Diceros bicornis minor: one gene and its partners. The protein of the gene in region 1 purifies or fractionates together with the protein of each later gene. This does not show direct contact. Links are inferred from orthologs where the notes say so. Each region holds a gene or a part of one and is shown on either strand. Other genes may lie near its edges.

What was found.
Region 2: the proteins of CHCHD4 (region 1) and TOR1AIP1 purify together in Homo sapiens (co-immunoprecipitation; 3 studies listed by BioGRID and IntAct, with this or other methods). This does not show direct contact. The link is inferred for Diceros bicornis minor from reciprocal best matches to the Homo sapiens genes CHCHD4 and TOR1AIP1.
Region 3: the proteins of CHCHD4 (region 1) and cytochrome c oxidase assembly factor 7 purify together in Homo sapiens (co-immunoprecipitation; 3 studies listed by BioGRID and IntAct, with this or other methods). This does not show direct contact. The link is inferred for Diceros bicornis minor from reciprocal best matches to the Homo sapiens genes CHCHD4 and COA7.
Region 4: the proteins of CHCHD4 (region 1) and SSNA1 purify together in Homo sapiens (co-immunoprecipitation; 3 studies listed by BioGRID and IntAct, with this or other methods). This does not show direct contact. The link is inferred for Diceros bicornis minor from reciprocal best matches to the Homo sapiens genes CHCHD4 and SSNA1.

The regions. Positions count from the first base shown.
Region 1 is NC_080741.1:88,706,191-88,714,025, forward strand, and holds the start of CHCHD4 (mitochondrial intermembrane space import and assembly protein 40), read left to right. Parts: upstream 1-4,789; 5' UTR 4,790-4,797; coding exon 4,798-5,008; intron 5,009-7,835. Other genes in the region: TMEM43 (transmembrane protein 43), read right to left, coding at 57-206, 4,210-4,221.
Region 2 is NC_080743.1:87,166,028-87,173,995, reverse strand, and holds the start of TOR1AIP1 (torsin-1A-interacting protein 1), read left to right. Parts: upstream 1-4,941; 5' UTR 4,942-5,048; coding exon 5,049-5,523; intron 5,524-7,630; coding exon 7,631-7,708; intron 7,709-7,968. UniProt on the Homo sapiens protein: Required for nuclear membrane integrity. Induces TOR1A and TOR1B ATPase activity and is required for their location on the nuclear membrane. Binds to A- and B-type lamins. Possible role in membrane attachment and assembly of the nuclear lamina.
Region 3 is NC_080752.1:15,013,426-15,021,344, reverse strand, and holds the start of cytochrome c oxidase assembly factor 7, read left to right. Parts: upstream 1-4,901; 5' UTR 4,902-4,944; coding exon 4,945-5,050; intron 5,051-7,919. UniProt on the Homo sapiens protein: Required for assembly of mitochondrial respiratory chain complex I and complex IV.
Region 4 is NC_080767.1:43,714,903-43,722,210, forward strand, and holds SSNA1 (microtubule nucleation factor SSNA1), read left to right. Parts: upstream 1-5,020; 5' UTR 5,021-5,054; coding exon 5,055-5,178; intron 5,179-5,622; coding exon 5,623-5,822; intron 5,823-6,251; coding exon 6,252-6,362; 3' UTR 6,363-6,808; downstream 6,809-7,308. Other genes in the region: ANAPC2 (anaphase-promoting complex subunit 2), read right to left, coding at 431-548, 1,004-1,123, 1,503-1,677, 2,650-2,782, 3,848-4,470, 4,752-4,865. UniProt on the Homo sapiens protein: Microtubule-binding protein which stabilizes dynamic microtubules by slowing growth and shrinkage at both plus and minus ends and serves as a sensor of microtubule damage, protecting microtubules from the microtubule-severing enzyme SPAST.

The DNA of each region.
Region 1 (7,835 bases):
TTGCTCCTGATGCTGTGGGACCCTCAATCTGCACAGAGGGACCCAGAACATTTTACCTCATTGGTGAAAATTAAGTAGAAGGAGAGCAGGAAGGTCATGAGCCCCACAAACATTCCACCCGAGGTCTCACTCAGCCGCTCCAGGAAGCCTGGCTGGGGGTCAGTCGTAATTTTGACATGTTCTCTCCTCTTACTCGAACTGGAATACTGAAGGAAAAAAAAAAACTCACAATGAAAATTGGCGTTAAAAATAAATTGAATTTTCCTATTTATTTATACTCAGTTTTTATTGATTTTTAATTACGTATGGTAAAAAAGCAGATATTAAGTGTACAGTTTGACGGGTTTTGACAAATGCATCCCCCATCTGACCAACAGCCAGACGGAGATACAGAACATTTCTGTCACCCCAGGAAGTTTCCTTGTGTCCCTTCCCTGCCAATCTTCCCCTCTCCCCACCCTCTGGAGGTACAACCATTTGAATTTGTATCACTGTAGATTAGTTCTGCCTCTTCCAGAACTTGGTATAAATGGAATCGTACAGCACACACTCTCTTTTGTCCAGATCCTTTAACTCAGCATGGTGCTCCTGAGGTCCATCTCTGTGGTGCTGGGTATGGCAGTGGCTTGCTCCTTTTCCTGGTTGATCAGTGGGCCACGGAAGAGCACACGTTTCTTGATTCATTCCCCAGTGGAAGGGTATCTTGGTTGTTTCAAGTTCTTAGATATTATGAATGACGCTTCCATGAACGTTCATGGACATGTCTTTATGCAGACGTGTGCTTCCATTTCCCTTAGGTATCGCATAGATACCTAGGAGGGGAACTGCTGGATCAGAGGGAAGATATATGTTTTTTAAGAAACTGCCAAATTGTTTTAAAAACAGGTGATTAGAGATACATTTTTAATTCAATTCACCAAACAGTGGCTGAACTTCCAGAGGGCTGTGATGGGCCTTGTAGGGGTAGAGAGGCTTTAGGGCCATTGAGTTACAGCACAAACAGCACTAGGCCATGCTGAGTGTCTGGTGAGAGAAGCAAATCCAGTGCTAAAGGAGTGACCCCTTCCTGCTGGGGGATCAGGGCAGGCTCCCTGTAGGAGGGATGTGAGTGAGCTCTCAGAGGCAGACCCTGGGCTGAGGGCATCCCCAGCAGGCGGAACTATATGAGCAATGGTGAGGAAGGAGGAATTGCTTCTCAGGGAACAGCTGCCTATCTGCTCTGGCTGGGTCGTGGCGGGTGTGGCGAGGAGACGAAGGCAGCTAGGCACGTCTCGGTGGGTTCATGGCAGGCCTCAAATCCAGAATCAGTGGATCAGGCTTTATCCAGCCAATAACAGAAGGATGGTTTGGAATGTGTCCGCTGCTGTCGAGAGTGTCGTCATCAAGGGCAGGACTCTGCAGCCAGAAGACTGGGTTTGAATCCAGGCTCTGCCGTGCACCAGCCAGGAGACCTCGGGCAAGCAATTCAACCCCTCGGCGCCCTCCATTTCCTCATCGGTAAAATGGGGATAATAATTCAACACGGAGGGTTGTGGGGAGAACCAGAGGACGTAATTATCAGCTGGCTCAGTGCCTAGGGCACAGTAAGCATGGCACAGCTTCTAACCGGTGGAAGGTTATCAGCTTTCTCTGTAACTGATACCAAGGCTGGTACCAAGGCTGGGGATGAGCTGACATAAGCCACAAAGATGTAAAATGGTTCCCAGATGAGCACTCAGGGTGAGCCAGGCCCTGAGTGCAGGACTGGGGGGATCAGAGGAGAGATTGCAGTCAGCCTCTGCTTGAAACAGGTGAAGGCCATGTTCTCTGAATTCTCCCCAAATGCCACGAGCCCAGGCCTGCCAGGGGCCAATGTCCACTGCATTCAGAAATGGTCTTGACTTTCCATGCCATCTGGAAACAGCGGAGCAACTTGCTGCAGGCAGGTAGGTGACCACCAGCCATCATAATGATGACAGTGGCAAACACACCAGTCTCTCACAGGCCAGTCACGTGCAAGCACAAGGAGGTGGGCGCTATCACTCCCCCACTTCGCAGATGAGAAAACGGAGGCTCAGCAGTGAAGCCATCAGCCCAGATCACTTAGCTTCTGACAGATGGAGTTAGCATTCAAATCCGGGCAGCCCAAGGCCACTCTCCTGCCACTCTGCCCTGGGCTGCATTCCTCACTTCTTGGGCTGTAATGAGAGGCGACCATGGGGGGCCAGCTGCAGGCAGGACGGGTCAAGAAAAGAAGCTGGTCCTGCTACTCCCCGCTTAGGAGTATGACACACCCAGTGACATGACACACCCAGCCCACATTCTGAATCCAGCTCCCAGCAAATACAGAGGCTCACGGACTTTCCTCTCTGCCCACTCCTCACTACCCACCCCCTCCCCTAGCTGGAGCGGCACCTTCCTATGCCTTTCTTCCTTCTCTTCAAGGCCATCTTTAAGCCCCTGATCTTGATGTTGGCTCCTTGATGTGTGTTAAATACATATATATATATCCTCAGTGACATATACCCTCCCAGTCCCAGCACTCAAGGACTGAAGCAATGAGCAATGAGTGGTGGGAACAGATGTCGACACATAGGCCCTTAAAATCATTTGCTGTGTAACCCTGGGTGAGTTGCACTACCTCTCTGATCCTGTTTACTCACTTATAAAATGGAGATGGTAACAGTACCTCCATCACAGGACAACTGTTACACTGAGTAAGAATTCTGTCGCCTCCCTGCTCCGCCCTACCATCTTCAGATCTTTCTTCCTCACCAGCCCTGGTGGCTCCTCCAAATGTGCACCCAGCTACTGGATGAATCAACCAAGGTTTGGGAGGAGAGGATAAGCAAATTCATCTACATTCCTTGGCGAAGGTCAGGTCCCAACATACTCGAGGTGGTCTCTGCCCACCAGGATTGTGAAGATAGGCTTTTTTTTGATGCCTTAAGTACCTACTATGCACAGTCTCTCTTAAACTTCACAGTAACAGATCCTTTGATGAAATATAAACAGCAAGAGATTGAGGCCACACAGCTACTGAGAGGAAGACTCTGGACTGGCCCCCAGGTTGGCCTGACTCCAGAGCCTGCAGTCTTCAGCACCTTCCCACGACACGTTCCCATGATGTGGCCTGCCTCTCCCGGGCAGACCCTGGGTCTCACAGACCACCTCTGAGGCTTTTCTTGGTGCAGCATTCAAGGCTCCAAGGCTAACACCAGGCAGAGTGTGCTACGGCTGTGGGTGACACAAACCCTGGGTGGGGGGGGACAGAGAGGATGCCTAGGGACAGAGGAGGGGCCTGAAAAGAGGGTGTAACAGGCCAGGGGAGAGTAGCCAGGACGCTCCACCAAAGCAGGAGGGAGGGATTGTCCGGGGCTGGCAGGGCTCCCGAGCTGGCTCCAGAAGCACTTTCACAGAGGATCGGAGTGGTGAGTCACCAGCTTCTCCCACACCCAGCGCCCTGGTGGGAGGTGCTGCTCGGTTTGTTGAATGAATGTTGGGCTTAAATGGAAAGATTCTGGCTGGCTGTGGGGAGAAGAGACCTGCAGCCTTTGGAAGAGAACCATCTTCTGCCAGGGTCTCTCTAACCAAATCCACGCTAGGAAGACGAGGGGCCCGAGAGCAGGGAAATGCTCCCTCTCACAGTCATCCTAACTTCTCCGCTCCCGACCTAGCCTACGCCCCTTTACAGCATCACAGCCTCGGTTTACATACCGCCGAGGGCGGGGAGCTCAGTGCCCGCCCGGACAGCGGCACCGCCGGACAGCCCGCCTGTCTGTCCGTTGCTGGAGAGCTCCACCTGGGCGGTCTCGGCTTCCCCACCCTTCCTGCGGAAGGCCCTCTCTCCGAGGTCCCGACCAGCTCTCCGAGTCCGCAAATCTGAGAACCCCGAGGGCCCAGGCGGGCAGAGGGAAGGAACGGAGGGGCTGCGGGGAGGCGCCGCGCACAAGCAGATCCCAACGCCGGGAACAAGACGTCCGCAGCCTCCCTCCCCACAAACCCGCGACCCGAGGATGAGGTGGACCGAAAGGAATCCGGACAGGCTAAGAGAAAAGAACGGACGGACTAGTTGCCGGAGGCACAGACACGGGCACGCAGAGGGTTTGGGGATGGCCGCCCCGACAAGGGTCAGACAAGCAAAATGGACCTCGGCGGCCCTCCGGGGAAGAGGAGGCCGCGGCTGATGGGGAAGTCTGGGTGTGGCCCGGCGGACCAGGAGACACTCACGTTCGCGGCCATGGTAGTACCCAGCTCGCCGCCCCCTCGCTCTGCTCAGCTAAGAAGGGGGCTTACGGCCCGAGTGCGGGGTCCAGTTGCCTCTCCTCTGCGTGAGAGCTGCGACAACCTGCGTTAAGCCCAGAACCAGAGTAGACACGCCAGTAGGTTACCGCCCCGTAGGCCCCCAGCTTTTCTGCTCATGCGCGCCGCACGGCCTCCTGGAAAATGTAGTCCAGGGTCAGGCGCTTTAGCTACAACGTTGCAACATGCACTGTCCGTCATTGATGCGCCTGCGCACTGCAAGCCTTTCTGGGAAATGTAGTTCCTACTCCCCAGAGAGTTGCTGAGCGGCGCGCGGCCTGCTGGGAAATGTAGTTCCTGGCTGAGGCGGGTCAGGCTGGGGCTGGGAGGGCGCGGAAGCAGGCGCGCGGCGGGCAGGCTCGGAGGGGGCGGGTCCGCGGGGGCCTCGGAGCCGCCCGTCGCGCCTGAGGAGAGGTCACGGCGTGAAGCCGCCGCCGCCGCTATCGCTGCGAGATCTGAGCGCTGGGCTGCAGCCATGGCCTACTGCCGGCAGGAAGGTAGGGAGGGCGGGCTGCCATGGAGACCGGCCTACGAGGGCCTGCAGGGGACACGCGGTCTAGGCAGGCCCCGGCGCCCAGCGACCCCACTGCCGGCAATGGCGACCTGGGCCGCGGCTCGGGGTACCCTCCTCCTGACCTTTGGAGCGGGCTGGGCGGCGGTCGCCACCCCCATTTTGCAGATGCGAAAACCGAGACTCTGGGAGGAACGAGGCAGGTCCAAGGTCACGGTGAGGCCGAACTCGGAGCGCAGAGGGACCCGCACGTGGAGACCTCATAAACTAGGCCGGAGGGGGTAAGGGAAGTGCTGAGCACGTTTCCTCTGGCTCGTAACTGGAAATGTATTGTTATTAATTGTTACTGTCCCTCTCACCACGCACCACGTGTTCCATTTGCGTGCGCCTTTTAACTGTCCCCAAAAGTTGCCGCACGGGTTAGGTGCTGTGCTGGAGTGGTAGAGGTGTCGCCAACGGGAACACGTATTGAGCCCCAACTACATATCAGGCACTGTTCAAGGAGCTTTATAAGGCTTATCTCATTGGTCTCACAGCGACCTTTGTAAGTCAGGCTCTGTTGTTATCCGCCTTTTACTAAAGAGTAAACTAAGACTCAGAGGTGACTTGGCTAAAGCCATGCGGCGGTTAAGGCGTGGAGCTGGGGTCAGAGCCCTGGCAGTCCAATTCCAGAGCTGCACTGTCCTATCTGGTGCCGGCTGGATTGCAGGGAGCCCTCTGCTGGGAACCCCCCACCCCCACCCCGTGACCCAACAAACCTGGGCTCCGCCTACCATCCCTCTGCTTCCCTGTTGTTACCTTTACCCGAGAGCTCAGAAGTGTCCAGGTCGGAGGTCCCAGGGCCTCCGGCACACACTGCCATTACTTGGCTCTTTATCCCTGAGCTACCACCTAACCCTCCAAGCCCCAGTTTCCAATCCTGTAAAATGAGAAGTTGGTCTTCATCCATTCAGCAGATACTCGTGAAGCACCTTCCCTGTGCCAGGTGATGGGGATGGTGGACACCTGAGAATATAAAGCTACAGAGAGAGTTGGAACTCATCTAGAAATTCTGTGGTGAATAGTCCCGCCCCTCAGTTTAATTCAGGGAATCTGAAGCCCAGAGAAGATGACCTACCCATACATCCAGTTAGGGGAACAACTCAGTCTAAAATGCTAAGCCTTTTCTCCAGTACCCTACCCTGCTTCTAGAATCCCTCCTCTTCCCTGGGTCATAAAGCCGTAGTACTCACTGATGTCCATACTGAGTACTATTTCTGTTGACTAACACTTCCTTGTGCCATGAACAGAAGTCCTCTGCCCTCACCACTTTGTTAGACAGTAGGTCTCTTGTTTTTAATTTCCTTTTTCTGAGTCTCTAATTTACTTCTTCATTTAGTAAATAATTTTGAGCCTGTTGGATATAATGAGGCTGTGCAGGTAAATAAGGCCCCTCTTGCCCTTGAAGATTTCTAGACGTCACAGGTTATCTGGGAAGGAGAGGCAGTTTCCATCTGCTACCAAAGCATGGATCCTTATCTTTTCCTGGTTGAAAGATCTCTCTCTTAGTTTGGCGATGAGAATTGAAAGCACTCACTTTCAGGCCTTCTCTAGTTTTTATCTTATCCATACTAGTGTCCCCTCAAGCTTCAACTTGTTTCTACCCACTTATTTTTTTATGCTTCCCATGGGACTTAAAAAAAATGATCCCAAACTATTTGCCATTTAAAGGCTCATGTGATCTAGCTCCCGCCCAATCTAGCTTGAGCCTCATCTCTTTCCACCTCACCACTGCTCAGCCACATTGGCCTCTTGGCTGTTCCCTTTGCCTGGTACCTCCTTCCTCCATCTCTTCCATGGCTGGCTCCTCAGCCTTCAAGATTTGGCTCAAATGTCACCTCCTCAGAGAGGTCTTCCCTGACCCTTTGTGTCTTTCACATCCTAAACTCTCTGAAATTACCTTGTTCATTTTTGTCATCTTATTTCCCGTCTGTCTTCTTGGACTAAGCTGAGAGCATTAGATGGGCCACATCCCCAGCACCTAGCACAGAGCCTGATGTACAGATGGATACTCAGATCTTTATTGAATGAACCCATATGCATGCCTGCCCTCTGTTCTGAGTGAATCACTTGCCTGCGCAAATTTACTTCAGGGGTCCATCCACCACGCAGCCTTCAGCACACAGGCCTTAGCTTGGCATTCACGGTGTTCCACAACGTGGGTTCAGCCTCTCTCCCTGGCTTTGGACCACCCATGCTTTTCTGTGTCAGCACCACACTGTTTCTTTTTTGAGTTTCTTCTAATGCTGAGCCTGCCCTCCCCTGTTCAGTCAACAAACATTGATTGAGCTCCTGTGATGCTCCAGCCACTGAGCATGTGAGCACAGATGACACAGTCTGCCTTTGTGGCATGCTGGGAGAGGTGGGCGCTCCTTCTGAGTTGGACATGCTGAGAGTCTGATGTGTAAAGATCCTGTGCATGTTTGTGGTCCCCGTTCTGGGGGAAATGAGACCACCCATCCAAGGGTTTTCTCTCACCTCCTTAATGGTGATAACCGTTCTGTCTTCCTGCCCTCTGCTGGGGCTGGGGTTTTCATGTCCTAATCCAGAGTTCGGTGTCTCCATTTACTTTTTCAACAAATATTGTTTACCCACTATGCTCTGGGCACTGTTGTAGGCTCTGGGATACTGCAGTGAATGGAATAGACAAATCCGTGCCCCTGAGGAGCTGACATTACAGTGGGGGAGACGGGTGGTAAACAGATATATAATATGTTAGGTGAGGAAAAGCACTTTGGAGAAAAAGAGGGTGAGAGATGAGGAGTGGTCAGGGAAGGTGGCATCAGGAGGTGTGAAGTTAGGGAGAGGGTGGCTCTGAGGATATCTGAGGAGAGCATCTGGAGAGAGAGCAGCCTGTGCGGAGGCCTAGAGGTAGGTGTGTGCTCAGCATGTCAAAGTAAAAGCAGGGAGGTGCTGGAATGGAGGGGGCCAATGGTGGGAGATGGGCTCATGGAGGTGAGGGATGCAGATCTTTCTGGATGTGTTTGATGGTAGAGCCAACTGG
Region 2 (7,968 bases), on another chromosome or scaffold:
TTTTCCACTGGCCGTTTATATACTAATCATGTGCTTGAAAAATAAAGCTGAAAAATACGGATAGCTGCCACCGCCCTAATACTTAAAAAATAGAGACAAGGAAAGGATCTCTCATATAGATTCAAAATAAAATGTTTTAAAACCTAAAGACAGGTAAAAATGAAACAAAAACAGTATGTTGAAGCAGATTAAGATAACACTTCTGCATCTGCATATAAAGTCTAACAATTAAGCACTACTGATAAAGTAGAGAGCTAGACACTTCCGTGAAGGAAGGAAAAAGGGGTAAACTCTCATTGGGTATGAAATACAATCGGGAATACATATATAATATGTAAGAAAAATGGTAATTGTAGAATCTTACTAAAACTTCAAAACTTTGCCCTTTTTAGCACCACTAAAGCTAAAAAAAAGGGGGGGGGTACTATCTCATAAGGATTAAGATGACCAAAGACGGGATCCTGTCTGGCAGAGGTAAAGGGAAGTAATCACCACCTACAGTGGTAGTCTGATTCCCCGTTTACATTCTGAGCCTTATAGGAATTCTGCTTCCCTTCTCAAAGTCCAAACCAAACATTTATTCCCATCTTAGTGTTAAGGTTTATAAGGTTCTGTTTATCTTTCTTTACTACAAAACAAAAATATACCCCCAATCTGCTCCGCTTAGGGTTTTTGCAGTAGGGAGGTGGGGGTGGGGAGGGATCGTTTCTGAAAGATGTTTCGAAATCAGATATCAGATCAAACATTAAAACATGGAAAGGTTGTATATACATTTTGTTTACTTACAAATCCTAGCGAGGTTTTAAACCGTCCACTGTCAATGTCAGCGGAGCCCTTCGCGTGTTCTTTCTGCCCCACAACCAGAGGCTGCACCCCTCCGACGCGGCGGAACAGAACGTATTCCCTGTGCCTGTCCACGTGACGTGACGGTGACCTCCGGGCGGGGAGGGCCCGCGGAATGCCGGGACTGGTAGTCGCCCGGCCCCTCCTCCTCCTCCCCAGTCGCCCGCACGCACGTCTCTCCACTCCCCCGCAGCCAGCCCCGCCAGAGCAAGAGGCGTGGTGAGCGCGCGCAGCAGAACCACCCGTCCCGGCTCCCGTGCTGCTGTCTGACGGGAAGCAGGCATCTCCGCAGCGCATCGGACGACCCTAACCCTTACAATGATCTAGAATGCATAGGCTGGAAGAACCCATGGAACCAACACAGTGAGAGGCACTACCCAATGATGATGGCAAGCACCAGTCAGACATCACACTTGGAACCCGGCCTCTACCATTACTAGGTGCTTGGCCTCAAACGAGTTGCTTAATCTAAACCTCAGTTTGCTCCTGTCAACTGGGGACAACGCTACGTACCTCATAAGGTGGTTGTGAGGAAATGCGCTAATGTACTTAACGGTGTCTGCTAAATGATAGTAGTAAATGATGAATAAAGAGTAGCTATTATTTTGATCTAGTAATTTCGCAAATGTGAAAACGGAGAGATGGCAAGCAATCTACCCAAGAACACATAATTGGCTAGGGGCAAAGTTAAGTAAATCTAAAACTTCTGTTCCCGACCTACACCAATTCAAGACAATATAGAAGAAATCTACTCAAAATCTCACTTCTCCTTTCCTCATTTTTTTCCGTAACACTTCTGACCAACACACTATTTTACTTATTTTGATTTTTTATCTGACTCCCATAGAATATAAACTCCAAGAAGGCAGGGAGGATTTTTGGCCTTTGGTCTATTCTTTCACTGTTGAATCTCCAGCACCTACAACATGGTCTGACTGTACACAGCAGAAACTCAAATATTTATTGGATAAATGATTCTTCATGTATCAGTGCCTCCACCTCTCAATCATCCTCTTTTGGCAGAAGTCACAGGATTTGGAAACACTCTTAGATGATGTTTAATAATTGACTGCAATTTCTAATTCAACAGAGAATAAGCGGAAGAATATTTATTATATTCCATTCACTTCACTGAGTTTAAATTTTCTTAATTTCAGTATAACATTTCCAGCTACACATTTTCATTCGTATAAAGTCTTTAAAATACTTTTTCTGTCACTTGTGAGAATGGGGAATAAATGGAGCCAACTACTATGTCTTTAATTTACTTCCTCTAATATTTTAATCATCTTTTCCTTATTAAAAATAACAATGTTGCCTCTTTCTACTAAGATAAAACCCCAGTTATTTATTTCCCTATCTGACCAGAAATGTGCATATTATGCACAATAAATTGACAGTGCTTTATCTGTAAATAATTGTATTTCTGCCTACTCTAAACAAAAAACTCATGTACAAAAATTATTACTTTAAAATAAAATGTTTCATTTAAAATAGCTGCTTTATTTAGAAATCCAGTGTCAAGAGTTAGGCCTAACAGCTAGATATATAAATTAACGCATCATTTAATCTAAATTATAATTTGTAGTATATCTCTCCTACCTAATATATGGCAAATTCCCTAATGGTAAAGAATACACTCACTAATTCATATATTTATTAAACATCTTGGTAAAGAATACACTCACTAATTCATATATTTATTAACATCAATGTATTCTTTCTTACAATCATTTCCTTTCTTAACTGTCTTCTCTTTCGATTCACTGAATTCCTCCACGTATCTCAAATTCCCAAGGTAACTGTCTAACATCCAGAGCTCCTCTTAGTATTTTCCTCTTCGTATTAGTGGCTCCGCAATTCCCTTATAATATAGGCTATGAGTCTGTCTCTGCAATGTCACTTCTTTTGGGCCACCCTTGTAGTCTGGAAAACATCTACAGCAGAATATCTGGTTTGATGAGAGTTTAGCTTTACCTCACACTTGTTATTAAAGTTGGTATTTGTAAGGTTGCTAGGTGTGGGAGGCAGGTATGGCAGAGCTAGGATTATGTAGTTTTATTACCTAGACAAAAGACGGAAAATCCTAAGCAAATATACATGTTAATGTTCCAGTTACCGTGCCTCTGATTCTTCTTTAAGATTCTCATGATTCGTTTCTTTGGAAAGTCATTCCTAAGCCTTTACAAGCATTTTTAATTACAAAATAACACATGTACTCATTATTCAATAATACGTAGAACCTCTCATCTTCTCTGATTGTTCAATAATATGCAGAACCTCTTGTCCTTTCTCTCTTTTTTAGTATACCCCAAACTTAAGTTTCACAAGTCTGTATCCAAATTTCTGTTTAGTCATTTGTCCTGGTAAATGTTTTAAAGAGGCTCTTAATATACGCATTAATGTACATAATATGAACTTTGCACATTAATACTATGAGGTTTTATATCCTTTAATAATTACATCTATTACGGAACTTTTACTATTATATGTTAATAATGAGTAATAGAATAGGCACGTTATAGAGAAAGTCTTACTTAAAACATAAGTAAATAAAAGCCAGGTATTACCAAGTATCTATATTCTTCAGCATTTTGTCAGAAAAGTTAATTCTCACAAATTTTCCAAATATACTAACTCAAGCTGACAAAGAAGAATACACTTTTAATTTTCCCTTAAGATAAATGATTAAAAAGAAAAAAAGCATCTCCCTTGTTACTGTTTCTCCAGTTTCTTTGGCTATATTGTATATTGTAAACAAACCTAAACTAAACTAAATCCCTAACAAGCTAAAACCTAGGTGACTCTCTAAAGTATGTAATTCCTTGTGTCTGGGGCCAAATTTATAGACTATTAGTGAAAACACAGTACACCTTAATATTTCATTAAATTGAAATCTGTGCCTAGTTTGAGCAAGAGTCGCTCAAAAACATTAGAAGGGGTTTAAAAGACTTGATAGAATAAACAAATACCTTCAAACTTTACAAAATCATTCATTGTAATTGGTATAAGTTACAAGTTTTTAAATCTATTCACTAAAATCAATTACAGAAAAGTCCTGCAAGACAAGCGTGTATATTTGAAGGTAACATTAATCTTTTTTTCAGTAACTATTCAGACTTTAACTTAACTTTCCCTCGGTGTGTCTAAATTTGGTTAGATATTTGCAGATTATTCACATCTGTAACTATGGTATACGGAGGTGAAACAAACAGTTATCATGCTTTCTTAGTAAACTAAACGCAGGAAACCCTAAATCAAACGCAGTATTTCAAGTCATGCCCAGAATCAAAGTAAAAATAATGGATCACAAGTTAAAAGACAGCGCGGCTTTAAGCAAAGTATTTGCTCATTTCTCACTGCCCGTAACACAGCGCTAACAAGGTTTCCGAAGAGCGCTGCTGGCACAGAGCCTTTATACGAAAGCCAAGAATAAGAGCCTATTTGCTCTGCGTACATTTTGCAAATGGAAATCCACCCGAGTATGCCTGTAGGTACGATTTTGTACACTCGCAACAGGTCACTTAAATTTAAAACTGGATACCTGCCTTCATAAGGAGCTTGAAAATAAAAATTTCTCCAAGAAAAGATATAAGACCTGCAAAAGTATCTTTCTTATCCTCACTCTGCTAGGGACACTTGAAGAGGCATGGCTAAGGAAGCAGTCCATCAAAAAGGTTCCAGGAGAACTGCGCAACAGCCAGGGGGCGAGGACGCAAACTTCTCCTCCGCCCCCGTCTTGCTCGGCCTTTCCCAGACACTCGGCACTGGGCGCCAGGACGGGCGTCTCCTGCTTTCGGGCAACAGTTGCCACGAGCAGCTGGGCTTAGGAGAGGAAATCTGCCCCGTCAGTTGTCCCTTCTCCGTCGTCTCCTCCCTCCCTCCTCCAAGGCCAAGGACAGCGACGTCCTCCTCCCTCTTCTCCTCCTCTTTGGTGCCCTCAGCCAGGAGGCGGGAGTGACCCACAGCAGCTGACCCAGCACAGGCACTGCCTCTCCCACAGCCCTCAGGACACACCATGGGCCCAGAGGCAGGTTTGCAGCACAGCAGCGACGACGCAGGCGGCGGCCCCGGCGACTCTCAACTACCTCCCTGACGGCCGCGACCACCGCCCAACAGCCCCGAAAAGCCAGTGCCATCGACGGCTGGAGAATCTAGGGGCCCCCAAACCATCTTCGCGGTCGACTCAAGCTACGTCAACAACTATGGCGGGCGAGGGGCGGCGGGCGGAGCCGGTGAGGGAAGAATGGGCATGGTACGTCACGCCCAGGGCCCCGCTGCGGGAAAGAAGATGCCGGCTCGCCCCTCAAAATGGCGGCGGCAGTAATGCGCCTGCGTACGGAACTCCGCCGTCGCGCCACGGCCGGCGGGAAGTGAGGTTCTCAGAAGAGCCGCCAGAAGTGTACGGTGACTTCGAGCCCCGGGTGGCCAAAGAAAAGTCCCCGGTGGGAAGACGAATCCCGCTACGAGAGTTCCGGCCCGACTCTGGGAAAGAGGAAGTGAGAGAAAGCGCCTACTACCTTCGGTCTCGGCGGCGGACGCAGCTGCGACGTCTGGAAGCCGAGGAGATGCAGACGCGAAGGGTTACTCGCCTACAGCAGCAGCACTCACTGCAGCCTCCGCTGCAGCCGTCTCCGGTTACGACCAGGAGAGGGATACGGGACTCTCATTCCTCTGAAGGTGAGGCCGGCGGAGGTAACGGTCTCAGCCGAAAGCCAGCGAGCGAGCGGGCACGCGTGGGATGTTGGCGTGCAGCGGGCGGGCGGGCTCCTCCCCGGCACTCATCCCCGCCGGGGCTCCGGGGCTCCCCCGCCCCCTGGACGTGCGCCTTTACGTGGGGTCCGCCCAAGCGCAGGCGGGAAAGAGGCTCGGGCGGGAGGACTGGACAGGCAGTCTTGCGGGGCGGCCTGGGCAGAGCCGCGGAGCTCTGCCCGTCCCGAGGCATCAATTTAGGGGTGTCGGGATTGCCTCGTTCTGCGGGCCTTCACGGGGGACGGCTAGTTAGGCGGGACGCCGAATCACTCCAGGCTCGGTTTCATTGCGGTTTCCTCTCTCTCTTGCGGATGTGTCTACCAAAGCCACTTCCATTTCCTCCTTTAACTCTGAGGCCAGAAGTCCCCAGTTGAGAAGCGTGGTTCTAATGTAACCTTTCCTTCCTTTTCCGTCACTACCCAGGTGGGGGGAGAGGGAGGGGAAATTTTGTGAGTGGGCGTTTGGAGGGATAGCGTGATTGGTGAATTGACTTGAGACCCCACCCAAATACTTACCTGAAACGGGGTAAGTCGTTTATCCTGAACTTGAAGCTCCTCATTGTCTGATAAACTTGAGCTGATCGCTCTCTCTTCAGTGTGGTGGTCTCTGCCAGAAATTCGCCACGTTGGGGGCCCTCAGTGTAACTTCAGTGGTTAAGGAGCTTGACAAAGCACGACTCTAATTAGTTTTCGTCTGAATGGGCCAAAAGGATGCTGACAAGGTATATAGTTTTAGGTAAGTCACAGGTGAATCAACTTCCTTAATCCATCCTCTCCCACCCTGCCTTCCCCCCCCAACACACATAGGTGAAGTTGCATGTTAGCCCCATGTAAGGCACTTATGAGGTAAAAATCAGGGGATTTGAATCACAATGGGATTACATAGTTAGTGGTAGACCGTTGATGGATATGAAGAGGAGGTAGATTTTCAGTTCAGAGTAATGGACTGCACGTTTACCTGCTGACACATTTGAAGATGTGTTGATTTTGGAAACTTTGTGTTAAAGATATGTAAGTTACTATTGGATGTAACAACTCAAGACAGGTTAGCCCATATATATGAGTTTTCTCTCTCTTTTAAGATAAACTTCCTGAAGACAGATCCTGTTATATATATTTGAAGGGCCTTGTTATACTTTAGTAGTTGCCTTAATTCTGTATCTCCTTCAATATCTGGAAGAATGCTTTCCACATAGTAGGCAATAAATATGTGTTACATTGTATTGACTCTCCCACAGAGCCTAGTGCAGTTATACTAGCTAATTTTTTTTTAACACACAAAGGTTTTACCTCAATTTTAGTACGTCTATAAGAATCTAAACGTTTTTCACTCTTCTGCTTTTTCCACATCATTAGTGAAACTCTACCCCATCTTTTAGGCCAGCCCTGGTGGGGTCTAGTGGTTAAGATTTGGTGGCTCTCACCACTGAGGCCCAGGTTCGTTTCTTGGTCTGGGAACCACACCACCAGTCTGTCAGTTGGCACACTGTGGCAGCTGCATGCTGCTGCGATGCTGAAAGCTATGCCACCGATATTTCAAATACCAGCAGGGTCGCCCACGGTGAACAGGTTTCAGCAGAGCTTCCAGACTAAGACTAGGAAGAAGGACCTGAGCACCCACTTTCAAAAAAAATTGGCCATGAAAACCCTATGAATAACAACAGAGCATTGTCTGATACAGCACCGAAGGTGAGAGGATGGCCAAAAAGACTGGGCAGGGTTTTGCTTTGCTGTACACAGGGTCACTAGGAGTCAGAATCGACTCCACAGCACTAACAACAAGAAGCCCATCTTTTAAATTTTCTAAAGTAAATATACTTTTGTTGTAAAACATCAGTGGTGAATAGTTTATTTTTATATTGTCTTAAGAGTGTGTATTTCTGACTAGTTAAATTCTTAAGTTTTGCTAAACCTAATTACACATTTCTAAAGAAATGAATTACTTGTATTTCTGCTTATATATTGCTATTAATATGCATAATCTCTACCTAGATCATATATTCTGAATTTTGACAATTTTCATGTCTATTCTTTAGAGGATGAACCATCTTCAAATACTGTTGTAAGCCAAACAGTCTCAAAGAAAACTATCTGGAGAACACAAGAAACTCCAGGTGAGAAGAGTGATTTTGTTTTTTTCTTTACCTGACAGCTTTTTTTTATGTACAGATTATCGCCAGTTCATCAAGGGTCCCAAATCATACTTCATTCAGAGTTTCAGTGAATCTGCTTCATAGGTTGTTTATGGAATTAAGCAGTACAGGCATGGGTCAAGAAAAGACTGGGCAGATAGTTGAGTATCTACTAATTACCAGCCACTTTGTATGTGTTAGTTCATTCATTCACATAACTATGCATGATAGATATACCCATT
Region 3 (7,919 bases), on another chromosome or scaffold:
AGGAAAAAAGTAACAGAATGAAGAGGCAGCCTATGGAATGGGAGGGAATGTTTGCCAACCAGATACCTGATAAGGGGTTAATCTCCCGGATATGCGGAGAACTCCTACAACTCAATAGCAAAAAACTAATAACCCGATTTAAAAATGAGCTAGGGACTTGAGTGTCATACAAGTAGCCTATGGGTATATGAAAAGATGCTCAAGCCAAGGTCACTAATCATCAGGAAAATGCAAATCAGAACCACAATGAGATATCATCTCACACCTGTTGGAATGGCTATTATCAAAAAAACAAAAGACAACAAGTGTTGTCGAGGATATGGAGAAATTGGAGCCCCTGCTCACTGTTGATGAGAATGTAAAATGGTACAGCTGCTATGGAAAACAGTATGGAGGGTCCTCAAAAAATTAAAAGTAGAACTACCATATGATCCAGCAATCTCACTTCTAGGTACTTATCCAAAAGAATTGAAATCAGCATCTTGAAGAGATATTAGCATCCCCATGTTCATTGCAGCACTATTCACAGTAACCAAAATGTGAGAAGAACCTAAATATCCATTGACAGATGAATGGATAAAGAAAATGTGGTATGTACATACAACAGAATACTATTCAATCTTAAAAAAGAAGAAAATTCTGCAATTTGCTACAACGTGGATGAATCTTGAGGACATTATGCTAAGTGAAATGAGCCAGTCACAGAAAGACAAATACTGTATAATTCCACTTGTATGAGGTATCTAAAATAGTCAAATTCATAGAATCAAAGAGTGGAATGGTGGTTGCCAGGATCTGGGGGAAGAGGAATTGGGGAGTTACTAATCAAGGGCATAAAGTTTCAGTTAAGCAAGATGAATAAGCTCTAGAGATCTGCTGTACAACACTGTACATTGCACCTATAGTCAACAATAATATATTGTACACTTAAAAATTTTTTAAGAGGGTAGATCTCATGTTAAGCATTCTTACCACAATAAAATAAAATTCAAACAAACAAAAATACAAAGTGGCTACAGCATTTTGCATTCTGACCAGAAATGTACACCAGGGTTCCAGTGTTTGTTTTTTGTTTGTTTTTTTTTGGTGAGGAAGATTGGCCCTGAGCTAACATCTGTTGCCAATCCTTCTCTTCTTACTTGAGGAAGATTGGCCCTGAGCTAACATCTGTGCTAATCTTCCTCTATTTTTTCTATGTGGGATGCTGCCACAGCATGGCTTGACGAGTGGTGTGTAGATCCACACCCGGGATCCAAACCTGTGAACCCCAGGCCACTGAAGCAGAGCACACGAACTTAACCACTGTGCCGCTGGGCCAGTCCCATGGATTCCAGTTTTTTTACATCCTCATCAACACTTGGTATTTGTTTGTCTTAATTACAGAATTCTAGTAGTTGTGTGGCAATATCTCATTGTGGATTTTTATTTGCATTTCCCCATGCTCAGTGCCTTTTGTGTGCTTGTTGCCCATCCATATGTCTTCTTTGTTGAAATGTCCACTCAAATATTTTGTTTAAAAAAATTTTTTTTTTTTTTTTTGGTGAGGAAGACTAGCCCTGAGCTAACATCTGTTGCCAATCCTCTTCTTTTTGCTGAGGAAGATTGGCCCTGGGCTAACATTTGGGCCCATCTTCCTCTACTTGATATGTGGGATGCCTGCCACAGCATGGCTTGATAAGTGGTAGATAGGTCTGCACCTGGAATCCGAACCTGCAAACCTCAGGCCACTGAAGTGGAGTGCGCGAACTTAACCACTATGCCACCAGTAGTGGCAGCCAGCCCCTAAAAAATATTAAAAAATAATTTTTAAACATTGTCTGCTGATTGTTGAGTTGTAGGAGTTCTGTATGTGTTCTGGATGCAAGTCCATTGTAGGATAGATGGTTTGCAAACATTTTCTCCCATCCCCCCCCCAAAATATATAAGCACATTTAAAATGTTAATAAATATTACCAAGTTGCACTCCAAAGAGGAGGTGCTAAGCTTTATTCTCACCAAAAGTGTATGAGAATGCTGGTTTCTCAGCATCCTCACAAACATAAGATGCTAAACTTTGTTAATCTAAGAGATGAAAAATATCACACTGTTTTTAATTTGCCTTCCTTTAATCATTAGGAAGAGAATCTCATCAAATGTTTATTGACCAGTGCTTTTCCTCTTCTAAGAGTCGCATGTTCTTGTTGAAACCTTGTGTTTTTCAATTTTGCATCCCTTAAGCCCTGGTCCTTATTAAGCTTCCAGGGAATGTTTGCTGAATGAATGAAGAATGATACTGTGAAGAATAAATGAGATAATGTATCTAAAGTACTAAACTAATAATTAGTAATCAATTAATATTAGTTGAATTTAAGTCTGGAGTCAGGAGGTGAGCGCTATAATGCTCTTGAATTCTTCCCCCCAGGATTTGGAACGGTTGTTGTGAACTCTAGGATTCCAAGAGGCCTGGTTTCTCCCAGTCCTCTCACTGTGTGTTTTAGGGTAAATCGCTTAACTTCTCTGACCTTCAATTTCTCTGCAACAGTCTGAACAGTGTCTACAAGCTGCATCATGCTTATAGAAAAGGGTTACTGGGCAAAAAAACATAAGATTGATTTACAATAAGCATATATTCATGTATTACTTGAATAATTAAAACAAGATTAAAAAGTAAATGTGAACATTGTAAAAATAAAGGGTCATAAACCTAGAGACATAAAGACAGGACTAAAAAAAGAAGCTGGCTGCCCTTTTGATGGCCTTAAATTTCCTTTAAAAATATGTGACTTCATACTTGGCCCAGCCTCTCTTCCACCTTTCCCCCAACCCTCTATCGCCCTCTATTGCTCAGGTGGTCTCATTTCAACGTAGTTCAACGCAGCAAATATGATTAAGGGAAAAGTATCATTTGTGGCCAGTCCCTAACTATAGTTATCCACATTACCCTCACCAACCCCGACTCTGTTCTTGGCTCTGTGACCAGCACAAGGGACATAAAGATCACAGTCTGGTGGGGGACACAGACCTTCATGCCATTATGGGAATGACAAGAAACATTTCTGGAACAGGAATGACTCTGAGCCAGGCACTGTGCTAAGCACACTGCATGCATGAACTTTTAGTCCTACTGACAGCCATACAAGGGATCTGCATTTACAGAAGAGGAATCAGGCTCACAAATGTCACTGGATCAACGTCACAATTTAGTAAACATGGGACATGGATTCTGACTAAGATCTGTCTGCTCTCCAAAGCCAGTCCTTTCCTACCACATCATATCAGAATAAACCAACTGGTGGGGAACACTGACATGGGGGCATCTAAATCTACTTTGGGAGTGGGTGTTGTTGCACCTGGGAACACTTTATGGAGGAGAAGATCTCTGATTTGGGCAGAGAAGGGTGGTCCGGGCATCAAGAGCAGCAGTAAACAGGGACACAAACCTGGGACCTGTTCAGAGAACAGATGGTTGGGTGGGGTGTGAGGAAAAAGAGGCAGGAGACAAGGCTAGCATCAGATTGCACAGGGCCTTGAAGGCCAGGCTAAGGAAGGTGAACTTGAAATCAAAGGTCAGGGCTTCCCTACCTGGGGCGCATGTACTGGGGTCTCACAAGGTCATCAGGGGTGTGAGAAACCACAGGTAAATATGGCATATCACCTGAAATGTCGATTTTACTCAACAGCTTTGGGAAAAGGCAATCTTGTGTTATCCTATGAAAGATGTATTATAGAATTGAACGTAAAATTATATGAATTTTAAAAATAAAACTGGGATTTCAAAGACATTTCGCAGTTGCAGTAAGCTGCTCCCCAATAAGGAAGTGGTCGGAAGTAGCCCAATCTCCGATGCCATCAGGGATAGGTTAACAGTGGAGCCACTTGGGAAGCCATGGATTGAGCTCTCTGAGGGCTCTAGACTAGGGCTGGATGGGATTCAAAGATGCATAGAAACTGTCTTTGGAGGGCTTTCAGTCTAGGCTTTATGGAACTGATGATTCTGAGCAGAACAAGACAAAACCACGTGAAGTTCCTCTCTCTTCCCCATTTCCTTGACATGTTCCTCTTATACCTCATTCACTATTTTATTCAAAAAATATTTATTGCACTTCCTGTGTGACTTCGGAGAAGTTACTCAAACTCTCTGTACCTCAGTTTCCTCATCTGCAGAATGAGGATAATAATACCTACCCCACAGTGTCACAGTGAGTGTCACAGTGAGAATTAAATGAAAATTTGTATAGAGCTCTTACAGTATGGAACATAGTTCAGCACTGTTTAAGCGTTAGCTATTATAACAGTATTATCACTACAACTCCTGCAGCTACTGTGTTCCGGTCATCTTCTCCCACAGCCATTCATTCTTTAGGTCATTCGTGTTGGAGGCAGGGATTCTGGCAGGAATACTATGCAGACGAACCCGACTGCTCATTGCACTTGTACAAACTTATGAATATTGGTTTGTTCAGCTACACTTGGCACATAGTAGGTGCTCAAAGTGCTTGCTGACTGAATAAACAAATGTCTTCCTACTAAACTTCACGCTCTTTAAAGGCAGGGACCATACTTCCCAGCTGTTGTCTTACTAGAACCAAGCACTTGGTGAGGCACACAGTAGGCGCTTAGGGATTACGGAACTAACGAATGAATGGCTAGAGAAAGGGATAAATGACTGCAGGCAGAAAGTCATTAAGGCCACAAAGCTGCCACAGATAAAGCGCTGCAGAAAAACCGCCACCAGCTTTAGGAATGGGCTCAGCAGAGGAACAGATGTGACGGCAGAAGACCTTAACAACCAGGTAGAAGCCCCGGTTCGCAGCGCCGGCCTTCCGGAACACCCCGGCGGGCGAGCGCGGACCCCGGCGGCGCGCCCCGCCCAGGCCCCGCCTCGCCGGCTCACGTGACCACGGGGCGGGGGTGCGCGCGACCGGGGCTGAGCGGCTGGGTAATCGCGGCTTGGCAGCGAGGGCCATGGCTGGCTTGGTGGACTTTCAGGACGAGGAGCAGGTCAAGTCGTTTCTGGAGAACATGGAGGTGGAGTGCCACTACCAGTGCTACCGCGAGAAGGACCCGGACGGTGAGCGCCGCCGGCACGGCTTGGGGGCACGTGGGGGCACGTGGGGGAGTGGAGGGACGTGGTGGGGGGAGGGCTTGACGGGTCACGTGGGCGACCTCTGAGGGGATCTGGAAGGGCTCTGTGGGAGGCTGACGACGTTGTGTGTGTCGAGGAGGGGCGGATTGGTTTCCACGAGGGCCTGCGGGACTCGCAGAGGGGGAACGCTCCGCTGCACCGAGCCTAGAGGCCGGGGCGGGGTAGGAGGGGCAGTGCTTGGACCTTTAGGGTAGAGAGACTGGGGATACATCAGTGCACAGATGAAATCCCCTGTCCTCATGGAGCTTACATTCCAGTGGGAGGAATTGGACAATAAACATAAGGAAATAAATGAAATAGTGTGTTAGAAAGTAATATATGCAATGGGAAAAAGAACTGACTGAGGGGTCTCAGGAGTTCAGGAGGGCATTTTAAGTTAAGTGGTCTGGGGAATTATTGAGAAAGTGACATTTGAAGAAGATCAGGAAAACTTGTGCCAGCGGCAGGTAATAGCTAGTGAAAAGGCCCTGGGGCATGGATCTGCCCCGTGTGTTGTGGGAACATTGAGTTGAGTTGAGTGGATGGTGGTGTCCAGAAGGGGCCACCCAGAGCAGCCAGTGTCTTTGGGTGGTTTTCTTCTTCCTGCTTTATTTTTATAAAGGAAAAAAAAAAATGGCACTGGCCCTATCTTCTAAAAGCTTGCAGTCTGGTTTCCAGAACATGATATAGCTATTTCTTGAAAGTAATCAGCTACACCGAGTTGCTCTGCGGTATGATGACTTAAATAGAACCCAGGGTTGTTCTTTGAGGCCTGGCCCATGTCCTAAGTGTAGAGAGAATTCACAGGATTTGGCGTCACTGGGGAGCAGGATGGTTGGGGAAGACTTTTGGGGGAGGTCAGAGGAACAGGCAAGTGTTGATTAAATGGAGGAGAGGGTGGGAGAGGGAAATGCTGTCTTTTGGAGGTTGAAGTCAGAATGTCATGAGAAATAAGAGTGAAGAGGGAGCCTGGGCCACAATGTGTCAGGCTTTGAATGCCAGGGTAAGGCGTTTAAACTTTATTCTGTAGGCAATGGAGAGCCATACGTGTCTTGAGGAGTGAATTCATGGTAGTGTACTCTAGAGAATATACCAAGCAATGGAGTGGGGAAGGGTAAGCATGTAAGGATTGTCTGTGGCGCTTTAGAAGGAGAGCCTGAGAGGAGGCTGTAGTTACTATAGCTCCTGGTACAGTAGTTTCCTTCAAAGTCACCATAATCTCTCACCTGGATTACTGAAATAGCCTTCTAACCTGACTCTCTGTTTGCATCCTCACTCCTTTAAAATCTGTTCTCTGGGCCGGCCTGGTGGCGTAGTGGTTAGGTTCACACGCTCCGCTTCTGCAGCCCAGGGTTCGCAGGTTCGGATCCTGGGCGCAGACCTACACACCGCTCGTCAAGCCATGCTGTGGCGGCGTCCCATATAAAGTAGAGGAAGATGGGCATGGATGTTAGCCCAGGGGCAATCTTCCTCAGCAAAAAGAGGAGGATTGGCCACAGATGTTAGCTCAGGGCTAATCTTCCTCACACACAAAAAAATCTGTTCTCTTCTTGCAAAATGATACTTTAATTTTTATTTTGTTAGCAAAAATGTTTGTTTATTAGATTTTTAAATAACGAAAATTACACATTTGTTATTATCAGTGCTGGAGTGTGTCCCCTCATGCACTTTACTTCCTCCATATTCATCCAGGTATGTACAAACATACATACCACAGTAACCTTTTAAAAAGGCACATTGGATCATATCACTGCCCTTCTTCAAACCCTCCAGTGGTCTGCTGTTGACATGGAATAAAATCCTAACTCCTTTCTGTGTTCTCCAAAGCCCTGTGATCTGGTCCCTGCCTTCCTCTCGTTTCCTGCCCCTTTCCTCCTTGATCCAGCCTCATTATACCTTATTTGTGTCAAGCTTATTCCCTCTTTTGAGTTTTTTTGCTTACTCTTCCTTGTGCCTGGGACTTGCTGCCCCCTTCTCATTTCATTGTCTGTAAATAGCTTGTTCATTCTTGTTATTCACATCGCAGCTCAGACCTCAGTCCTCAGTGAGGCTCTCCCTGATCATCTGATCTATGTTAACCCTTCCCCCAACATGCACAGCAAACCGTCATATCATCCTGTTTTATTTCAGTCATAACATTTATTACTGTTTGAATACATCTTGTTCAGCTGTTTACTTATCGTGTTTCCTCCTCTAGAATGTAATTTTTAAGAGGGCAAGTGATTGCATTCCCAGCATCTAGAACAGTGTCTGGTACATAGATGCACATAGTTGCTCAAATATTTGTTGATTGAAAATGAACAAGAGATGAGTGTTATGGGGAATGAAAAAGAAGGGACAGAAGGAAGAGATATTAAGGAGAGGCTTGCTGGGACTAGAGACTGCCAAGGAGAGAGAGTATTTTCAACTCTGGTAGCTGCCATTTCTACTCTGTCTTTGGGCTTCATGTTCCTAGCCTGGTGAAGGAGGAAAGTACAGTCATCAAAGCACCCCTTTCTTGCTGCTGCAAAGACTAGCCCATCCCATGGGCCCTTTTGGTTTTCGGTGTTTTACTGCTGAACTTCCTGAGAAGTTCCAAAGCTAGCAGAGTTTCCATCATGGAAATCAGTGGGTCTTTGGGCCTGGCTGATAGGGAGCAGAAGGGTGCTACCAGAAGGGCTGGTGAGTGATGGAATCAGTGCAGGGCCCAAGGTCTCCCCAGTCCGAACATTGCTCAGTCCCCGGCTAAGGGCAGACAATGCCATTTGTAGAAATGGCTGAACGCTACCTGCATTCCTTGTGGTAAGGTCATCTTGCCACACCTCGGGAGGAGAGA
Region 4 (7,308 bases), on another chromosome or scaffold:
GACATGAGTCAGGGCAGCTCCATATGCCCCCAGCCCCAGCCCCAAGGTTTCTGGGCCGCTGTGCCACGGCCCCTGTTCAAACATGTCCTCCAACGGACAGCCCAAGTCTCTGCTCAGGGCCCTGCTCCGCCCCAACAGCCTCGGGCCTGGTCAGCATGACGCAGAGCTGAGCAGGGGCACCTCTCCCTGCTGGGAGAGGGCAGGGGGAGGGAGGGGCACAGGCAGGGCCCCCCAAGTCTGCACACAGGCATGGTGACACTGAGCGACAGGACAGGAGCTGGCGCCAGCAAGACGAAGGGCCAGGCCGCTCAGCCCAGCAGGAGGGACGGAGGGGCCCTGGGGTCCCGAGGGCCACTCCCCCAGCTGCAGGACCCACGAGAGCTCGGCTGCCCTGAGTCTGAGCGGCTCCCAGGGCCAGCAGGGCGCCCACCTCAGGTAGCGGCGGATGGGCTCACAGGCCACCTCCAGGACGACCATGGAGGGGTCCAGCACGCGCAGTGCCTTGATGGCGGAAATGTAGAGGGTAATGATGTCGCACGTGTTGACACCTACGGCCAGGAAAAGAGACGTGGTCGCGGCGGCGCCCAGGACAACACAGGGACATCGGGGCAGCCGCACACTGGTCAGGTGGTCTTCAAGTCACCACTGGACCCCACTCCCCAGGAAACTGGCGCAATCCACTGAAGCTGCCCCCTTCCCCACCCACCCCCTCGCGACTCACACTTTCTCCAGAACTTTCCAAGATCCAAGCCCTCCCCTCACCAGGCGGTCTGTTCTGAGGGGATCATGCACCGCCGCTGCCCCCAGGCCAAACTTGTCAGTTATCACAACTCCCTTTGAAGGAGGGTGAAGCAGAGAGTCCCCCAGCCCCCCGAAAACTGCACAAAACTTAACCCGCTCCCCGCCTAGGCCCTGCAGGCTGGGACACTGGACCCTGGGGCTCCTGGGTCTGGGCCCTGAGAGCGGAGCAGGGCGCCGGCAGGGTTGGCAGAGCGCGAGGAACCTGGGTGGAGGAGCCGCGTCTCCAGGGCGGCCTTGAGAGACACGAGCAGCTGCTGCCTCTGGTCAGTCCTCTCTAGGCAGTACTTGAGGTCCTCGACGGCTGGCCGGGAGTCTGGGAAGTCTGCAAGAAGAGGGCCAGGCTTTGCACGCACATCCAGGGCGCGCACACTGCACATGAGATAGCAGGTGCCGACCTAGGGCTCCAGCAGCTACACCTACATCTGATGACCAGCACCGACACTTGCAGGTGCCGCACATCGCCCCTGCGCCTTCACATGCCCACACACTTGACCACAACGCCCTACAGGGCAGACGGACGGAACAACGGGCAGGGGTGAACGCCCAGAAACACCATCAGGCACCCTGCCACACCTGATCCCGACACTGGGCTGGGAGGAGTTCCACTGGGACACACTTGGACAGCACGCTCCAGGTGCCCCTGGCCACCCGCACAGCGGAAGGGCAAAGGCACAGGGAAGGCAGGTGGGCCGGGGGCTGACCTCGGATGATGCTGAAGAGCTCCTCGATGCGCAGGCTGGCATAGACGCGGTAGAAGAACCTCTGCACGTGGCAGCGCCAGCGGCGCAGCATGTTGCCAGCCTCAGGGGACGCAGGTCTGGTGGGGCCGTCCTGCAAGAACACCTTGCCCAGCCAGCCGACCACTCTCTCGATCCACTGTCAGGAGAGCACAGGTGTGGGGCGGTGGGGGCTGAGACCCAGCGTGACTCAGAAGAGAAGCTGGGAGAAGCCCACAGCTACCTACTCTGCCGGCCAGGCCCCAGGGAGTCCCCAAGGCCACCTGCTCTGGAGGCCAGGAGCACATGGAAATCAGCAGGATGAGGAAAACAAAGGTGGCGTCCCAGGTCCTCCATCAATGCACCCCCATGCCCCTCCATGTGCCTCAGTGCCCATGCTTATCTCTGGCAACAGTGGCCCTAACGTAGGGCACATAGCAGCTTGTGCTCGCCTCCGCCTGAGTGGACAGACTTGCCCTGAGGCCACATACACGACTGGCCCCCGCCACGTGTAAACAACGTACCATATAGTGAGAACGTTTCTGAGCGCACACACATAAACTTACAGGACATACTGCCACACGAACCCGAAGACACACACGTTCCCCTCATAGACCACCCAACCACTGATGAGACCACCCCAACACTCTGCCACCTGGAGGCAGCACAGCTGCCCCTACCAGGCCTCCAGGCTGCCACCCACTTCAGACCACTCCTGCGGGGAGAGACACTTGCTTTGAATCCCCCATTGTGGTTAATCTGCACCCTCAGAAGGTGGACACTAGGAAACCGAGGAGAACAGGTAGCAAGTGGAAGCAGGCTAGACGGCCGCTGAGGCTGGAGCCAGCTGCTCCATGACTCTGGGGAGCCCAGAGCAGAGCCCCAGACCACACCCAACAGCGTGGGCACTCTGAGGCCCCTCAATGGGACATCTCAGACCTTGGCACTGCCTCTAACCAGGTGATTCTGCACAGACCTCGCCGAGCATGTCACAGGCTTTCCTTGCTGTCTCTAGGGCAGGCCCAGAAGGACTGGCCTCCACACTCTGGCTGCTTCCAAAGCCGGAGTCTCAGGTTTGCCAGAAGCCTATCCCCCATCCCCAGGGATCAGGCTCGAGGAGGGACGTCCTCACCTTGTGGAACTCACGCAGGAAGGAGCGCTCGTACTCGCCCCGGCAGCGGTCCTCCATCCGCTCCCGAGTCACTTGGTGCAGGGTGGTGGTCACGGCCTCAGCACTGACCCGCTCCAGCAGACTGAGCCTATGTCTAGAGAAGAGCCCTGCCCGTGGAACACGCAGAGCACACACACCCCCACCCCCCACACTGGGCACACACCTCTCCAGGGCCCTCCTGGTGGGGGCACAACTGTACCAAGGGTTCTTCCTCAAAGCCGCTGGGATGATGGAGCATGGACAAGCCACTGCCCGCCCTCCCCAGCTGGCATCTCTGCCCAGGCCAGGGCACTGGCCTTCCCCAGGTGAGCAGCGTGTGTGGCTATCAGGGACCAAGGCCTCATCTAGAAACGGCTGTGAAACAACACCCAAATACATCCCTACTCTGGCCACATAAATACAGATACTGCTGTCTTTAAGTGCCTTTCAGCGCATACTCTCGTCTACGATGGCAAACAGATGCAAGAAAAAATGAAAAAGAACTTTTCTGCGTCACTTTCACCTGGGATGAACCCAGCAGAAGCCCTTCAGGGCCTCCCTGACCCCTGCCAGCAACAGTACCACTCCCTGGGTCCAGCTAAAAGTCTCTCCCCAACAGCTGTACTGCTGCCACGCCACTTGAAGTGACAAAATCATCATAAATGGCCACAGAGAGCGTAGGACCCATACAACACAACCTGGTTCTAACGACAATGACAACGACAACAACCTTTCCACTTCAAAGGGCTACAAAGGCAATCGCTTGCCCAGCATGTCAGCCTAATGTCCAACTCTCTCTGGAGAAGAAAAATAACAAGCCCACTTTTTGCAATTACAGGGTAGAACGAACATCATTCCTCCCCTGGAGAGCCTACAGAAAGCACAGCAGAATTCTGCGTGGCCCAGGAAACTTGGAACCACATGAGGTCTCAGCATAAGCAAAGCGTGGAACCCTAGGTTTACCTGAGTGACAGAGAGACACACTTGCGTCCAGAACAAAAGGTATAAACTCACAGCACAGGGATTCTGGGGACCCTCCCCTTGTCATGCCCGTGGCTATCAGGACAGGTGGCAGAGCCCCCAGCCAGCTCACCAGCTCTCTGCAGAGGCCAGCTGGACCCAGGGGAACAAGTGGGACTAAGGAGGAACAGGGCAAGGCCACACAGGCGGGAGTACTCACAGGACCTGGCTGAGCTGGTGGAACTGCTCCAGTGCCTGGCGGCACCAGCACTGCTGCTTGTCGCTGCCACATCCCGCACATAGCGGGCTCTGCAGAAGCCGGTAGTACCGGCGGCGGGCATACCTGCTGTCCAATTCCCCCTCCAGTTCTGGATCTGTGCCCCCTTCCCCTTTCCTCTTACTCTGCATATAGACTCTCAAGAAGCGCCCATACAGGCGCTGGATCATTTCCTGAAAGATTCTGGGAGTGGAAAAGAACAGGACGCCCCGCAACGTGGTGTGGACCTTTTCCCGCAGCCCCTGAGCACCGGTGCCCATCAGCAAGCCCAGGCGAGTCCATTTCTCCAGGAGCTCCAGGCTATGCAGGTAGGGATCCAGGCGGCTCTCCAGCAGGCCAAAAGCGTCAAGGAGCAGCAGAAGGCACTGGGGCTCGTCAGCACAGTTCTCGCGCTGGGAGATGGCATTCCAGAATTCCAGCGAGATGTTGGCCTGCAGGTCGTTCTGCAGCACCTCTACGAACCACTCCTCCAGGACTGAGTGCAGACCGTGGCCCCTCAGCACCTCCACCGCCGCCCGGAGCTCCTCCTCCTTCGGCGGGACCGCACCGCTGGTCCGGGAGGACGCCTGGAGCGCAGACAACCGTGAGGAGAAGGGAACACAGCGAAGAGGTGGGGAAGGCGGTGACGGCTGGGGAGAGGCGGGGAAGGGCCAGATGGAGGGGAGGCTGCGGAAACCCCGCTGCCCCTAGTCCGCGGCGCGCGGATGCCGGGCCGATGCCAGGGAAGGGCTGCGGGAAGCCAAATGAGGAGGGACCGTGGAAGAAGAGGCAGGACAGGGGCCGGCGAGGACGGCGCTGCAGCAACCCGAGGGCGGGCGCCCCAACAAAGCCTCCTCCCGGGCCTCACCAGCCCCAGCGCTGCCGGCGGCACCAGCCCGGTGCTCACGGTATTCCAGGCCACCAGCAGCTCCTGTGAAGGCGCGGGGTCGCCGTGCCCCGGCGCCGCCGCCGCCGCCGCCATCTGCGTCCACCCGCTCCCACAGCCGCCCGGCGCGACGCCCGGCGGTGAGGGAGGGCTGGGCGCGCAGGGAGATGACGCACACGAGGCGCGCGGCAGTGACGTACGGTGGGCGCGCCGTCGGGAGGCAGTGCGCAGGCGCGGGCAGGATGCGGTAGCGGCGGTTGGCGCGGCCGAGCCTGGGCGGCGACCATGACCGAGGAGGGCGCGGAGCCCTTGACCGAGGAGGGCGCGGCGACCATGACCGAGGAGGGCGCGGCGACCATGACCGAGCAGGGCGCGGCGATGCAGGACTACAACAACCAGCTGATCAAGGGTGAGCGGCCGCGCGGCGGGCCCGCTGAGCCCCGGGAGGGCGCGGGGCTCGCCCCTGCCGGCCCAGGCGCGATGGCCCGCAGCGCGTGGCCAGTGCGTGGGTGTCCGGCCGGACCGCGCGGAGGCCATGCGGATCTTCCCAGCGCGCGGCCACAGTGTGGCATCGCCGAGGACCGGATATCTATGGAGCGAGCAGGAGGATGAGGGGCTTGAGCATGCGCTGGCCCCTGCCCTACCCCCCGCCCCCGTCCCCGGCTGTCTCGTGCGGTGCCTTCTTTAACCCTTAGACCCCGGAGGTGGACACTGGCCGGGCTCAGGCGGAAGGTGGCACCCCCGCCCGCCACCACTCGTCTCTGCTACAAAGCTGTGGGCTGCAGACTGGGAGGGGTGATGCTCTCCTTCCTGCCCTGGGTCCACAGCGCCTGCCCCTCCCCGCCCACCCTAGGCATGGAGGTCCTGTGCCAGAGGCGGAACAAGTTGTGCCGGCAGATCCAGAAGGAGGAGAAGGAGAAGCAGCGGCTGCATAATCAGTTGAGGCGGTTGACAGAGAAGCTGGCCCTAGTCAACGAGAATCTGGCATGCAAGATCGCCTCTTACAAAGAGCTTGACCGGACCATCACAGAGTCTGAGGCTGCCTTCTTCAAGGTAGGGCTCGCGGAGTCCCCAGGCGGTTTTTGGCCTAGGGACACCCACAAGCAGAGGTGATAGGACTCCGGTGTGGCCGGGCCCACTGTGGAGTGACAGCCCGGCCGTCGGTGGGGCCTGGTGCGTCCTGAGTTCTGTTCTTTGCACCCTAAGTGGTACCATGAGCAGCACAGGGGAAGCAGCAGAGTAGCAGCAGGGGCTAGGGCTCACCTGGTGTGGCTTTCCCAGGGTGCGAGGAAGGGGCTTTGGGCTAGACTCGGAGGGAAAAGTGCCCTACTGACCCTGTCCGCCCGTCCCCTCAGGGGCTTCCTTTTGGCAGCTCCTGTCCCGTAGCCCCCACAGCCTGGCCCTGGCACCATGTGTGAGGGGGGCTGGGCTGCAGGAGTTTTCTGACAGAAGGAACCGTCTCATGCCTGTTTCTGTTCCCAGATCCTGGAGAGCTCACAGGCTCTGCTTAGTGTTGTGAAGAGGGAAGCCGGGAACCTGAGCAAAGTCATGGCCTCAGAGCAGGAGATCATTGAAGAGAAGGACAGTTCATGAAGCCACAGGTGGAGAGGGGCCTGTCTCCACTGCAGCCATTAATGGTTTGGCCCCTAGCAAGTCTGTCTTCACAGTGTCTGTTTTTCATGACAGGAGGTAACTTCTTTCACTGTCTCAGGTGCCAAGGGAGGCAGCTGCCAGCCTCCATTGGCCCTGAGTGACAAGAAAAGCCCTGGGCGCAGCCCACCAGGTGGGAGTCCTGGCCCTGTGCTCACTCAGGCTACAGGGAGGGCGAGCTCGGGGCCAGCTCCACTTGGGGCCTCTCTGAGGTCCCCATACTCCCCTCGGCTGTAGGTAAGGCCCTGGTTAGGGGAGTTCCTTCACCTTGTCCCTTGGCCAGCAGGTGCCCAGGCCTGGTGAGTGGGGGAGGGGCTGGGCCCCTCCTTCACCTTAGAGCTTGTCCTTGTGGTCTGTGACTGTCAATAAAGGTTGTCTTTGTAAAGATCCATGCCAGCCTGCTGCCTGTGTCAGGATTACGGGGCTGCCGGATACTCCCAGAGCCAGAACACGAGCCCCTGCCCAGCTATTGCGTAGCTCCTCTGTGAGGGAGAGGTTAGAGTATAGCCTGGAGTGGCTTTCCCTGTGACCAGCCTTGCTGGCCTTGGGGACAAAGCTGAGAGTGACCCTGAGGATCTCCCATGACCCTCATCGCCCACCCTCTCCGCACCGGGGCCACTGGCCCCCTCCCCGACTCCAGCACACAGCTCATCCCCTACTGAGGGGCTCTGCCTGCTGGTCCTAGTCTCTGCCACACCCTGGTGTCCAGCACAAGGCCTGGCCCAGGGAGACGCCTTTCCTGGGCTCAGGTCCCCCACCAAGGATTGCGCCCTAGCTCCATGATTCTAAACTCTGCTCACCGCGACGGCACCACTGCTTCTTGCCTTCACTGGCCACACACCAAGCGTGCCCACTTTCAGCTTTCCATGTCGCCTGGGGCCCAGCCCTC